Caenorhabditis elegans: one gene and its partner. The protein of the gene in region 1 interacts with the protein of each later gene in a biochemical or structural test. Each region holds a gene or a part of one and is shown on either strand. Other genes may lie near its edges. The genes, in order: stn-2 and snf-6.

Evidence for each region.
Region 2: the proteins of stn-2 (region 1) and snf-6 form a complex in vitro, tested with the Caenorhabditis elegans proteins (one study listed by BioGRID).

What each region holds. Positions count from the first base shown.
Region 1 is NC_003284.9:7,675,712-7,682,532, reverse strand, and holds stn-2 (PDZ domain-containing protein), read left to right. Parts: upstream 1-1,913; 5' UTR 1,914-2,008; coding exon 2,009-2,044; intron 2,045-2,188; coding exon 2,189-2,261; intron 2,262-2,697; coding exon 2,698-2,831; intron 2,832-2,876; coding exon 2,877-2,940; intron 2,941-2,992; coding exon 2,993-3,058; intron 3,059-3,579; coding exon 3,580-3,676; intron 3,677-4,105; coding exon 4,106-4,169; intron 4,170-4,223; coding exon 4,224-4,372; intron 4,373-4,458; coding exon 4,459-4,627; intron 4,628-5,050; coding exon 5,051-5,176; intron 5,177-5,229; coding exon 5,230-5,295; intron 5,296-5,340; coding exon 5,341-5,505; intron 5,506-5,550; coding exon 5,551-5,643; intron 5,644-5,691; coding exon 5,692-5,811; intron 5,812-5,855; coding exon 5,856-5,981; 3' UTR 5,982-6,022; downstream 6,023-6,821. Other genes in the region: mfsd-8.5 (Major facilitator superfamily (MFS) profile domain-containing protein), read right to left, coding at 6,404-6,496, 6,543-6,665, 6,712-6,813.
Region 2 is NC_003281.10:1,529,750-1,534,922, reverse strand, and holds the start of snf-6 (Sodium-dependent acetylcholine transporter), read left to right. Parts: upstream 1-2,095; 5' UTR 2,096-2,154; coding exon 2,155-2,253; intron 2,254-2,637; coding exon 2,638-2,731; intron 2,732-3,091; coding exon 3,092-3,151; intron 3,152-4,928; coding exon 4,929-5,104; intron 5,105-5,173. Other genes in the region: mtg-1 (CP-type G domain-containing protein), read right to left, coding at 24-101, 499-620, 801-922, 982-1,030. UniProt on the Caenorhabditis elegans protein: Mediates sodium-dependent uptake of acetylcholine at neuromuscular junctions during periods of increased synaptic activity, may also prevent spillover to adjacent synaptic sites.

The DNA of each region.
Region 1 (6,821 bases):
AGGGAGAGAGTGTCTGAATCTGGTGCTCAGCATGACACAGAGAGAGGAAAAGAGAGAAGAATTGGCAACACGAAGAGGAAGAGCATGCCAAATAAGAATGTTTAACATTTTGCATTGATTTTTTCTATTTTTAAGAAAGTTATTATAAATAAAACGAATATTTAGAAAACTTATTAGTTTTCTTTGAGTAAATTTAATTAGTTTTTTTTCTTCAAAGACCACATAACCAATTTTTCTGAAAAAGTTATGTTTAGATTTTCCAATGATAAAATACCTTGTTGACAAAATTTAAAAATAACAATTGATATCATCAACAAGGAACAGTCGATACATAGACACATTAGGGATTAGGACCGTAGACACCACGGGGACTGTACTGCGTACTATGCGCTGGAAATGACGCGCAATGGAGTGCAATAGAGACCAGCATATAACTATTTCAATGAAAATGGGAGATTACTTATTTAATAATCGGTATTTAGGTTTTATAATCTCACATTTTAAAAAATAAACTAATTTTTCCATCAAATTTTCCATATTAATAATACGTGATACACGTGTTCCTCTTCAAGTTTAAGTGGTTTTCCAAGAATAAAAATGCAAAAGGATTTCGAACATTTCCATTTCTGATAAATTAAAAAGGTGTTATGATTCACAACAAGGTTTAATAAATAACAAAATACGTGCGTACTTTGAAAACAGTTATATATATCTAATTTTTAAAATTAAAGTTCATGTATTTTGTCGTTTAATTTTTGACACTATATGAGCGGGTTTAAACAGTTTTCCTACTGAAGGTACTCCGTTTTTAATTTATATAACAAGAAGAGCTACAAAACACTTTGTGGTTTGTTTCAAGCAGAGAAAATGTGATCACACATATGTACTCAAAGAAAAAATCACAATTTTAGTCTCTCTTGATGACTCAGTTGACTAAAGGCAAAAAAGTCAGCCTCGTTTGCACAACAACGATTGTGAAATATATTCCGTTGCCTTTCTTTTTTGCCAGTTGCGGAACATTTTCATATGTGTTTGCGCCGCCGAAAATCGTCCATCATTCGAAATATGGAAAGCGAAACGATGTGTCTTTGTATCTTCAAAACGGCATTTCTCAATTGAAGCTCAATGGCTCATTGACATTCGAAGTGAAGACACAGTGTAGGGTCACGGCGCTAAAATGCGTGTTTTCCCATTGTTTTAATGGGGAAAAAGGACAATAAGAGTAGAAAACGGCAATTCGTCAAAATGATTGATTATATTCATCAATTAGTTTGCAGGAAACAACATGCAGAAATGTGGAAAAGATTTCAGTGAAAGTTTCAATTAGTTTGGAAAATCACTAACTGTTGAATATGAATAAACAAATGGAGAAAAAACAGGGATGTTAAAATTTTTATCAAAAGTCACTCCTCAAAAAGGTATTCCGTTGCGGGGAATCGAACCCCGGCCTTATGGGTGAGAGCCATAAATCCTAACCACTAGACCACAACGGAGATGGGTGAGCAATGGTCGCTGCTTAATGATAAGAGTACAGAAAACTTTGTGACTGTGAACAATGTGTAGAAAATTTTATCAGTCAGAAAGCAGCACGCGAAGAAATTGAGAAAAATGATGGTTGCCTTTCCGGCAATCTCTTTGGCAACAGTTCCAGAATTTCAGCTCTTATTTTATATCTTTTAATCAGTTTTCAGACTATGATCAAAACTTTGTTGGATGTTAAAAATATTGGATGACTCGTTTCTGATATTAAAAATTCAAACCAGCTGTTTATCATCTTGTTTCTCACTTCCTTCAACTGCTCGTTTTTGCTGTTCGTCTATGATTCCGCATCTTTTGCTGTTGTAATGTGTGTATTACACCGCTTCCGATGAGCAGATAGGATAGATTGGAGCTCGGGCGCTTCAAAGTTGACTCGTGTGAGGTGGCACACACACACGCATCTTTAGTCCCTCTAGTTCATTGTCCTTCATTTTTGCTACATTTTATATTCTCTGTTAAACAAGGCTAAATGTCCGTTACGAAATCACACCATAATCTGGATGTGGTAAGTTTAGCAAATATTATGAAATTGTTGGTTTTTAATGGGCATGTTTAATTTTTGTATAGTACATGCCAGCAATCTGAAGTCTTATGAAATACAAGACTTGACAATATGTTAAATGAAACAAATTCCAACAAAAAATTTCAGGTTCATCATGGAATAGTACTCATTAGTGATGGGAATGCCACTTCTAGATCGTCACGACTGCTTTTATCCAAAGGTAAGAGGAAATTAAAATGGAACTTGAAATAGAAATAAAATGGAACCATCAATTTTTGAATGTATGCATTTTTTCCACACTTCTCACATGGGGCCTATAAAAGCCGCACAATTTGCGAAAGCGAGAAGGGCCTGAAAAACGAGGAGAAATGGGGGAGAAAAACGAAAATAAAAGAAAAGTGTGCAATGACGGCCTCAACTAGTCGTGTGAAAACTTTATTAGGCAGCTCATGGCGCGGAAATTGGTGCCTAGCCTACAATTGAGTTGTTGAGAAAAGAGGAAAAAGCTGTCAGGGTCCCGCATCTTCGTTTTTGTCTTGCGCTTCCTTTGCGCTTTTAAAACTCCAAAAAAAATTTGGTAGAAATGACATGAAAATGGCATGAAAACTATATAAAAAGTCATCCAAAAAAAGAAATATCGTAACATATTCTTGCAGATGAGTTATGTATTCAAGTCATTGACGATGGTACCGCGGAGCCCGAAGAAGCCAAAGAAACATTTCTAGAAAATGCAACTCGGCAAGTTGTCATAGTTAAAAAACCAGACTCGGGGTTCGGATTGTCTATTAAAGTGAGCAATTGAACAGGACCGGTGTAATACTTAGAACTATTGCAGGGAGGATCAGAAAATGCACAAAACATGCCAATAGTAATCTCCAAAATATTCAAAGGATTGCCAGGTAAATCGTCAGATTTAAAATTTTAACATCTAGAAAAATACTTAAATTACAGCCGACGAATGTGGAGAGCTATTTATTGGAGATGCTATCGTAGAAGTAAATGGAATATCCATAGAAGGTGAGGGAAGAAAAAGAACGAGTAGTCTTCATTAGTCCAATCATTTGGTTCCCCTCTGGGAAATAGGAACTGAAAACGAATGAGCGTTCATAGCAAAGACCAAAAAGTTAAACTAGTTTTTTTTTAAATAATAGAAATAAAATGGAACCATCAATTTTTGAATGTATGCATTTTTTCCACACTTCTCACATGGGGCCTATAAAAGCCGCAACAAAATAACTTTTGGCAATTCACGTTCAAAAATTTAACATAAAAATTTAAAAAAAAAAAACAAAGTTGTATTGAATAATAAAACAAGTCATATGCTGTACTTTCCCTATTATACTTGCTCCTTCTCTGTTGGATGGGTTATATATGCCGTCCTAAGTTTCATAACAAATCAATTTTTTTTCAGTTGCCAATTAAAAAAAAACCAAAAAGAACTAACTAAGATATAAGCTGTCAAAATCAAGCAAGGGCATGATGGTACAAGTCTAATAGGGAAAAAAAACGGTAGACTATTTTTTCATATCAACTTCCAGGTCAAAGCCACGACGAAGTGGTTAACATGTTAAAATCAAGCGGTGACCAAGTAACTTTGGGTGTCCGCCATTTCACCCATATGACGCCGTTTCTAAAGTGAGTTTGGTTTTGTGGCGAAAAAAATTTGCTACTCAAGTCAGTCCCATGCATCGCCTTTCTTCCTATTTCCCGCTTCCTTTTTCGATTTTCGACGTGGCGTTACTTTGGCGAGAGGACACACAAAAAAAGTATGGTTGAAAAGAGTGGAAGAAAGAAGCATGAAAAAGAAGGAAAAGGACGAAGAAACATGAGTAGAAACAACTGATGGATTAGAGTGTAGAAGAGCTCTGCGCAGGGGGTGGTTTGAGGCAAAGCACGCGGAGCCTTACGCCATCCTCCCTGATGAATGCTTTTCACTGCATTTGAAATTCAAAAATGTGCGCAGTAGGCAAACTGCCGAGGGACACACAATGTTTTGCGCAGAGTATATAGTTGCATTTGATTTTATATCGGGGTACCAGAGACGTTGGAGTGACTACTTTTCAGACCAGCACAGTCATTGCAACCCGATGGAACATTGGATCAGCTGTTTGATGGAAGAAGTACAAGGGTAAGAAAAAATCCTAAGCTTCCATTTTGAAATTATTTGGAGTTTTTGCTTCAGAGCCACAAAGCGCAATCCGAATCCCGACTCTCCGACTCGAAATGGCAACAACATATTGACGGACGGGAAAAGAAATGGAAAACGTTGACGTCTCTTCCGTTGGCAATGGCTTATGTCACCAGATACCTCTGGGGAACCGACAATATCAGGTTTGCTTCAGATTTTATTTTCGTAATGAATACATACAACGGGGAGCTTTTTGTATTTCTTGTTCAACAAAACTAAAATTTTACAGGACAAACTCTTTCGAAGTTCGTGCAGTAGATGGAAGATCGTCGGGAATTGTGCATTGCGAAGATACATCGGCGCTGGAACAATGGATCTCGCACATCAGCAAACATATATTGTCGCTCAACCAAAAGAGTATAAAAATGAGCAACAAGTACTTGCATCAGAGTGAGCAGGTCAGTATGCAATGATATGACTTCAATGTTTGGTAGGCACGTTTGGTTGCCTTGAAACATCTGTTAAAAATACGACATCGGAATTAAAAATTAAATGTTTTCAGCACACATCAGATTAATGATCCAACATTACTGACTATGAAGCCGTTTTAGGTGTCCAGAGAATTATGGGTCGAATGATGTATTTTCTAAAAGCTAATACAATGGAAATTACGAATTCAGAATAAAACTTTGCTTAATCTAATTTTGAGGCAATTATTTTTGCTTTTGTCTGCTCGATTTAGGATACTTGATGGAAACATTGTTGTTTTTAAAGCCGACTATCTTGTTGAAAATTGAATATTCAAGAAAATAGTCAACTAGTAAATCTACTAACATTATGCACGGTTTTTGCAGTAAATAGTTTAAATTAATGTTTTTTAGATCAGCTACATTGGTTGGGTGAATGAATACTTGAATGATGATGATCAAGAAGAGCTTAAAATCCGCTGGCAACCTCGCTTCTTGATTTTAAAAGGCAGTGATGTCTGCTTCTTTGATGTTCCGCCGGTATGTTTTTTTTTTAATTTTTGAACTTATTTTACATGATTCTTTTTTTCCAGCTAAACTCTGAAGATCTCAACAAATGTGTCTACTTGTACAAATGTTATGATGTTGCTGTAAAACAGGTAGATTATCAAAAAAAGTAGTAATTCTAGAAGGGATATCTACAGGTCCCAAACTCTAGTCCACGAAGAGATAAGCGTGACAATTGTTTCTTAATAGAAACTCCATTGCAAGTTCCAAATCACTACCTGTCATTTGAAGCTGTATCTGCATTTGAACTTTTTGAGCAAGCATATTACCGAACCGTATACAATACCATTTCCCAAATGCAGGCAAGTTTATTTAAATTATTCAACAACAATAACAGTTAACTTTAGTCCCGAACGTTTGCCTGTAACTTTGAAGGAAGAGCCAGTGGAATCGTTTTTGACATTAAACAGGGAATTAGTCTATATGATATTCCTACTAAGGTAATACTATTTCTAACTGTTATTGATATTGATACAATTTATTTCTAGAGTTACATTTGGCAATATCGGTTCAGAGATTTACAAGCCGTTGCTGATGATGGCAAACTGTGTGTCCAGTTATCGTTCAATGATGATCGTTCATTGAATTCCGATAGAATAGAAGTAAAGGTTAGTGGTTTTGCAACTTTCCGAGTCAAGTACTCAAATTGCAGGACATCGAATGCGAAGATGTGGTAACAGTTGTATTCAACCTTCATTCCTTTGTTCTTGCCAGAATTGTTTCCACTGATCCAGACTATTTGAAGGCTAATCGTTATGTTGGAAATGCAGAGGACTAATGATTTTTGATTTTCAAAGCATAAATATTTTTTTGTTGTTGTTCAACTGTTGTTTAAAACAAAATTTGAATCATGAGTTAAAGCTAGGTTTTCAACATTTTTTTATTTCAAACTAAAAATAAAAACAATCTGCATGCCGTAGTCTACCTGTAACTTATGGACCAGTTTTGAGTCATATGCAAAAAATCAAAATTTCATTGAAAACATATGACTTTTTTCAGGTTTCTGGCACAATCAAATTGTCAATTTCAAAAATCCTTTATTTCAATAATCATAAATTCTAATTCTCAAAGAATTATATCGATAACAAGATAAAGACACGCGATGAGTCAAAATCAACCGGTTTCTGTTTGCCGTAATATTGCACTTACAACAGTACTCGAAAACTCAAACAAAGGTGAAATAACAAAGTAAAGAGTTGCCTAATTCAAAGGCTCAATCTTCTTCGTCTCATATTTCTCGAATGGAACCATTCTCACACGCAATATAATCCACGCACTAATAAGGACTACCAGCTGAAATCGTTTGGGTTTCTATTGAATTAACTGCAGCAATACTCACGTTCACAATTAGTATCAACCATGGAATTGAAGGGCCATATAATGTGTAAACGTAGCTCATCAAAAGTGGAGCAAGCATTCGCCCAAATGATCCGGCCATTTGGTACACACCTTGATAAGTTCCCTTGAAATATGAACTATTAGAATTCTATTAACTCATAATATGATACCTGTGGTCTCGGGCCTATTACTTTGGAAAACAGTGTAGTAACGGTGATATTCATAAACGAAAATGCAACACCAAACACCATAATGAATCCAATATAATATACCTGAAAAG
Region 2 (5,173 bases), on another chromosome or scaffold:
GAATTTTTCAGCTCCAAAATCACCTTGGAAGCCGTTTTTTGCAGTCTGTGAATAAAACTTTTTGAACGCCCCGCTCGTAGTAATAATCCTCGATTTGGTGCCTGAAAATGGGGAATTTTTGAGAAAATTTCGGATTTTACAGCGTTTTTTCCGAAAAAAAGGTAAAAAGAATCGATTTTTCTTCATTTTTTATAAAAATCCGGTCGAATTTCACCCAGAAATCGTTAAAAAAGTGCAAAAAATCGCGCTAAAATAGCCAAAAATTCGAATTTCCCGCCACTAGTCCACTGGAGCGCACTTGCACTGCGCGGTCGGCGGGAATTCAAATTTTTAGGTGATTAAAGTGGATTTTTGTCGGAAAATCGCAATTTTTGACTAAATTCGTTGAGAAAAAGCCGAATTTCGTCGAAAAAATCCAAAATTTTTCGGAGAAATTCTGAAAATCTTGATTTTTCAAGCGTTTTTTCCGGATTTTTTCGAATTTTTCCGGGTTCTCACTTGTATTTCTTCATATCTATCAAGTCACACTTGTTCAGGACGAGAATATGCGGTCGAATAGCGTATAAATGTCGAAAAAACTGCTGATTTCGGCCGGTAATCGGGATTCTGGCGTCGTGGACCTGGAAAAAATGTCGATTTTTGCAATATTTCCCGATTTTTCAACTTTTATAGGCGGAAAAATTCACTAAAATTCTTACACCAGTTTTTTACACCAGTTTTTCGGTTTTTCAGCGTTTTTCCGGTGATTTTACAGATTTTCCAAAAAAAAAATCGTAAAAGTTCCATTTTCCATGCAAAACCTCAATTATCAAGTCGACGGATCGCAATTTCGCTTCCATTTTTTTCAATTGTACGGACATATGCATTGGAAACCACTGCCGATAGTCATATTGCGCGGGAAGTTCGAATTGTTGGCGAAATTCTGAAAAGAATTGCGATTTCCGCGCGGAAAACTGAGTAAATAATGGGGTTTTCGGGTACCTGGAGTGGAAATTCGATATGTTGTGTGCAGAAATCGACGAAAATTCATATTTTTTAACTGGAATTTGAAAAAAAATTGAGAAAAAATTGTGAAAACAATTTTTTCCTGTAAAAAATCAAAAAATAACCTGAAATTGCATGATTCGTACTCTGCGTCTCTGCTCTCTCATGCGTAGCAATGGAGCGCAATTGCAGAGTCAATTTTTAATAACTTTGGAAAATCCTAATTTTCACCATTTTTAAGGGATTTTTTACAATTGAAAATGCGAAAAACAAACAGAAAATGTTTTTAGCCGCATTTTGACACCAAAAACTACACAAATTACTCCCCAGAGAAATATAGATTTTTCGAGAAAAACTTGATTTCAAGAAAAACTGTGATTTTTGGAGTCTTCGTGATTTTTAGAGTTTTTCTAGTGGATTTTCGGTTTGCACCGGTATTAGTTTTAAAATGTTGGTATTCTCCTGAAAAATTCAAAAAAAAACTAACAATTTCCGGTGTTTTCTGGTATTTTCTCTGTAAAAATGGTTTTTTTTTGTTTAAATCTTATTTCTTTCATAATAAATGCTTTATTCAACCAACAAAGATGCTTCCAAACCCAATTTAATTTATTTCATCAGAATTTCCATTTCAAACACCCGCCAACAAGCGATTTCTCAATGGAGCGCGTTTGCATTGGCAACCTGGAACATTTTTATTTTCCAGAGCGGTTTTTCGTGAAAAACGTAAATTTTTCATTAAAATTTTCGATTTTTATAATTAAAATTGAATTCTGGAAGTGAGTTGCAGCATTTTGACCCCAAAAATCTAAAATTTGACCCGAAAATTATTGATTTTCAGCTAAAAACTCATTAAAACCGATTTATAGCCAATTTTTTCCTGAAATAAACTAATTTTTCCCACATTTTCCCACAATTTCTCACTTTTTCATTCGTTTTCCCCGGCTTTTCACGTATGTTTTCAATTCGGGCGAGCCAACTGCTTCCGAAATTTGTGTAACAACGGGCCGCCGCGTCGCCTCGTTTCTCTTTCGTTTTTACTCTAAAATTCGTATTTTTCTTCGCAATCTCTTGCTAAATAGCTCAAAAAATCGTGAAAATTGCTAATTTTCAGGTTTTAAACCGACGAAAAATCGATTTTTCCAAGAAAAACCGAGTTTTTCCACACCGAAAATGTCGGTTTCGAGCAACGATCCGGAGCAGAGGAATGGACGGGGCATGGCAAGCGGAAACAACGTGGATATGAGCCTATATCCTCCGTTTATTAAGCAGGTTTGTGGAAAAATTCGGAAAATTCGAGAAAAACGGATAATTTTGACGTTTTTCCCGAAAAATTTGGATGATTATCGATTTTTTGTGAAAAATTCCAAAAAAACCACAAAATTTGATGAAAATTTCCACTAATTTTTGTCCTAAAACCAATAAAATCATTGAATTTGCTGAAAAATTGCCGAAAAAATAAATAAAATCAAATTCCCCGCCACTAGTCCGCTGGAGCGCACTTGCTCCACGCGGTCGGCGGGAATTCAAATTTCCGTTTGATCTACGGCGGGAAACGACCAATTCCCGCCATTTTGTTAAAGATTTCAGCGAGAATTTTGAGTTTTTAGGGAAAAAACTGATTTTTTCGCAAAAAAAACCCTGAAATTTTTCAAGCTCGACGCAAAATTGCCCGATTACACACGAGAAGGTGACATCGAATATCCATTCGAAGAGATTACGGGTGTCGGAGACGAAAATAGGATACGAGGTGCGACAAAAATCCACGTTTTTCGATTTGGTGGCCTTCAAATCCAAAACTCGGCCACCAAACTGTTTTCATTGAATTCGCCACGTCAGCAGCTTTTGAATGACCCCCAACATGACCAGAATACGTTGATTTTGAGCTTTTGTAGTTTCGACACAGCTGAAACCGGTGCTACAGTACCCCGCGTGGCGAGACCCGAATTTTTCAAATTGCACGGAAACAGGGCATGATGGGGGTCATTTTGAAGCTGGAGACGTGAAAAACACGAATTTGTGTGAAAAAATCCATAAAAACCAAAATTTTTATTGAAAAATGCTAAAATACCAACAAAAAAAATTTTTGTGAAAAAAAAAATTTTTTCAGGAAATTGGAGTAACAAGTCGGATTATCTGCTAGCAGTAATTGGTTTCACAGCGGGAGTTGGTAAGAAAGCGAGAAATTTGAATTCCCGCCAAACCGCTAAACAACACGCGTTGGTGTACTAGCGGAGTGTCGTTGTTTTTCTTGTAAAAACGTTGATTTTCTGGGGGCTTTTTGAAGTTTTTTCGCATCAAATTGATGAAAATAGCAATTTTTAACTGCTTTTTCATGGAAAAAACCAATAATTTTCCCTAATTTTTAGGCCAGAAATCCGGAATTTTTACGATTTTTCGGCGAAAACAGGGGCCAAAGTCCACGATATCAGCAGATAATAATCTGACCATACGAAATGAGTACGTGCGAGAAATTGATAAGATTATAAATTGATAAGAGAGTGTGTGTGTTCTAAAGTTCTAACATCTCTTGTTTTGGGGGATTTTTTTTTGGTGAAACATTGGATATTTTTGGGATTTTCAGTGGAAAAATGGATAAAATATCGATTTTTCTGCAAAAAAAACTCGAAATTTCAATTTTTCAACGCATTTTTCACGTTGAAACCAGACAAAATCAGTGAAAAAATCGAATTTTCAGTAATTTCTCAATAGAGCGCACTTGCTTTATTTTTTCCAAAAAAATTAACTTTTCTATTGATTTTTTATAGTTTTTTCTTCTAAAAACGAATTTCAACACCAAAATTTTGGAAAAAAAAGTTTAAATTGTCATTTATTGGGTCTAAATGATTTGAAAAGCGAAAATCTCACATTTCTAGTAATTTTTTTCAAATTTTCAGTTGGAAATTGAGTTTTCCACTCATTTTTACCCTAAATTGGTTTTTTTTCGAACAAAATAGATTGATGGCCTAACTTTCGGGGGTTCTAGGCCACCAATCTGAAAATGATGGTTCCTAGCCATGTTTATCGATTTTTTTTTTGGAGTTTTTGGTTCAAATAATGAAAATAAAAACATTTTTAACTGGAAAATCACAAAAATTTCGGTTTAAATCCCTAAAATCTTCTAAAAATCGATATTTTCGTGACTTATGTGCTTCTACTCGTATTGATGACATAAAAACTGTATTTATTCACATTTTCAGCCTTAAATTGGCTGAAAATGTGAATAAATACCGTATTTCTGCCAACAATTTGACAATAGAGCACATTTGTCACTCGGAGATGCGGAAGCTATGCCCAAATTTTCTATTTTCCCGAAAACTCGTGTTTTTCATTTTTTTTTTTCCAGTGATTTTCACAGTTTTTCATTACGAAATTCGGCTTCTCCATCAATTTTCACCCCCGTAACCCGATTTTCAGCCAATTTGGACTAATTGTCGTAAGGTTCGGTGCCTAGCAGGTGTTTGCGTACTTTTGGGGCTACCGTACTCCTCGAAATTCAAATTTCAAACTGGCTTTTGGGAAAAAAGTCCAATAGCGGCAAAATAAACCGGAGAATTCGAACTTCAATGTGAAAATTCCTGAAATTTCCTGGAAAGTTCGAAAAAAAAACGTTTTTATCAACAAAAAATTAAAATTTCCAACTTTCAATATATTTTTCCAGCATTTTCATGCGAAAATTCAAATTCCCCGCAAATTTTCACCCCGGTGACTGTTTTTTCAGCCAAATTGTGCGAAATTTCGCAAAATTCGGTGTTTGCGTACTTTCGAAGCTACCGTACCCCCCTCGAAATTCAAATTTTTTCAATTAGGAATTTTTTTTTGTAAGATTTTAACGAAAAATTTGAATTTCCCAGTGAAAAATCGCGAAAATTTCTGGAAAATCTTGAAAAGAAATTTTTTTTTTTGGAAAATTTTTAATTTTTTTACAATTTTCTCTTCCTTTGCAGGAAGTTTCTGGAAATTCCCATTTCTAGTATTCCAACATGGCGGTGCAGCATTCCTTGTACCATATTTATGTATGTTATGCCTCGCCTCACTACCAATGTTCTTTATGGAAATGGTACTTGGACAGTTCTCCTCGTCGGCTGCGATTAGTGTTTGGAAGGTGGTTCCGTTGTTTAAGGTGAGAAATTTTGGCGGGTTTTAAGTGGGAAATTTGAATTTTTTGGGTGGAAATTATCCGGAAGCTCTG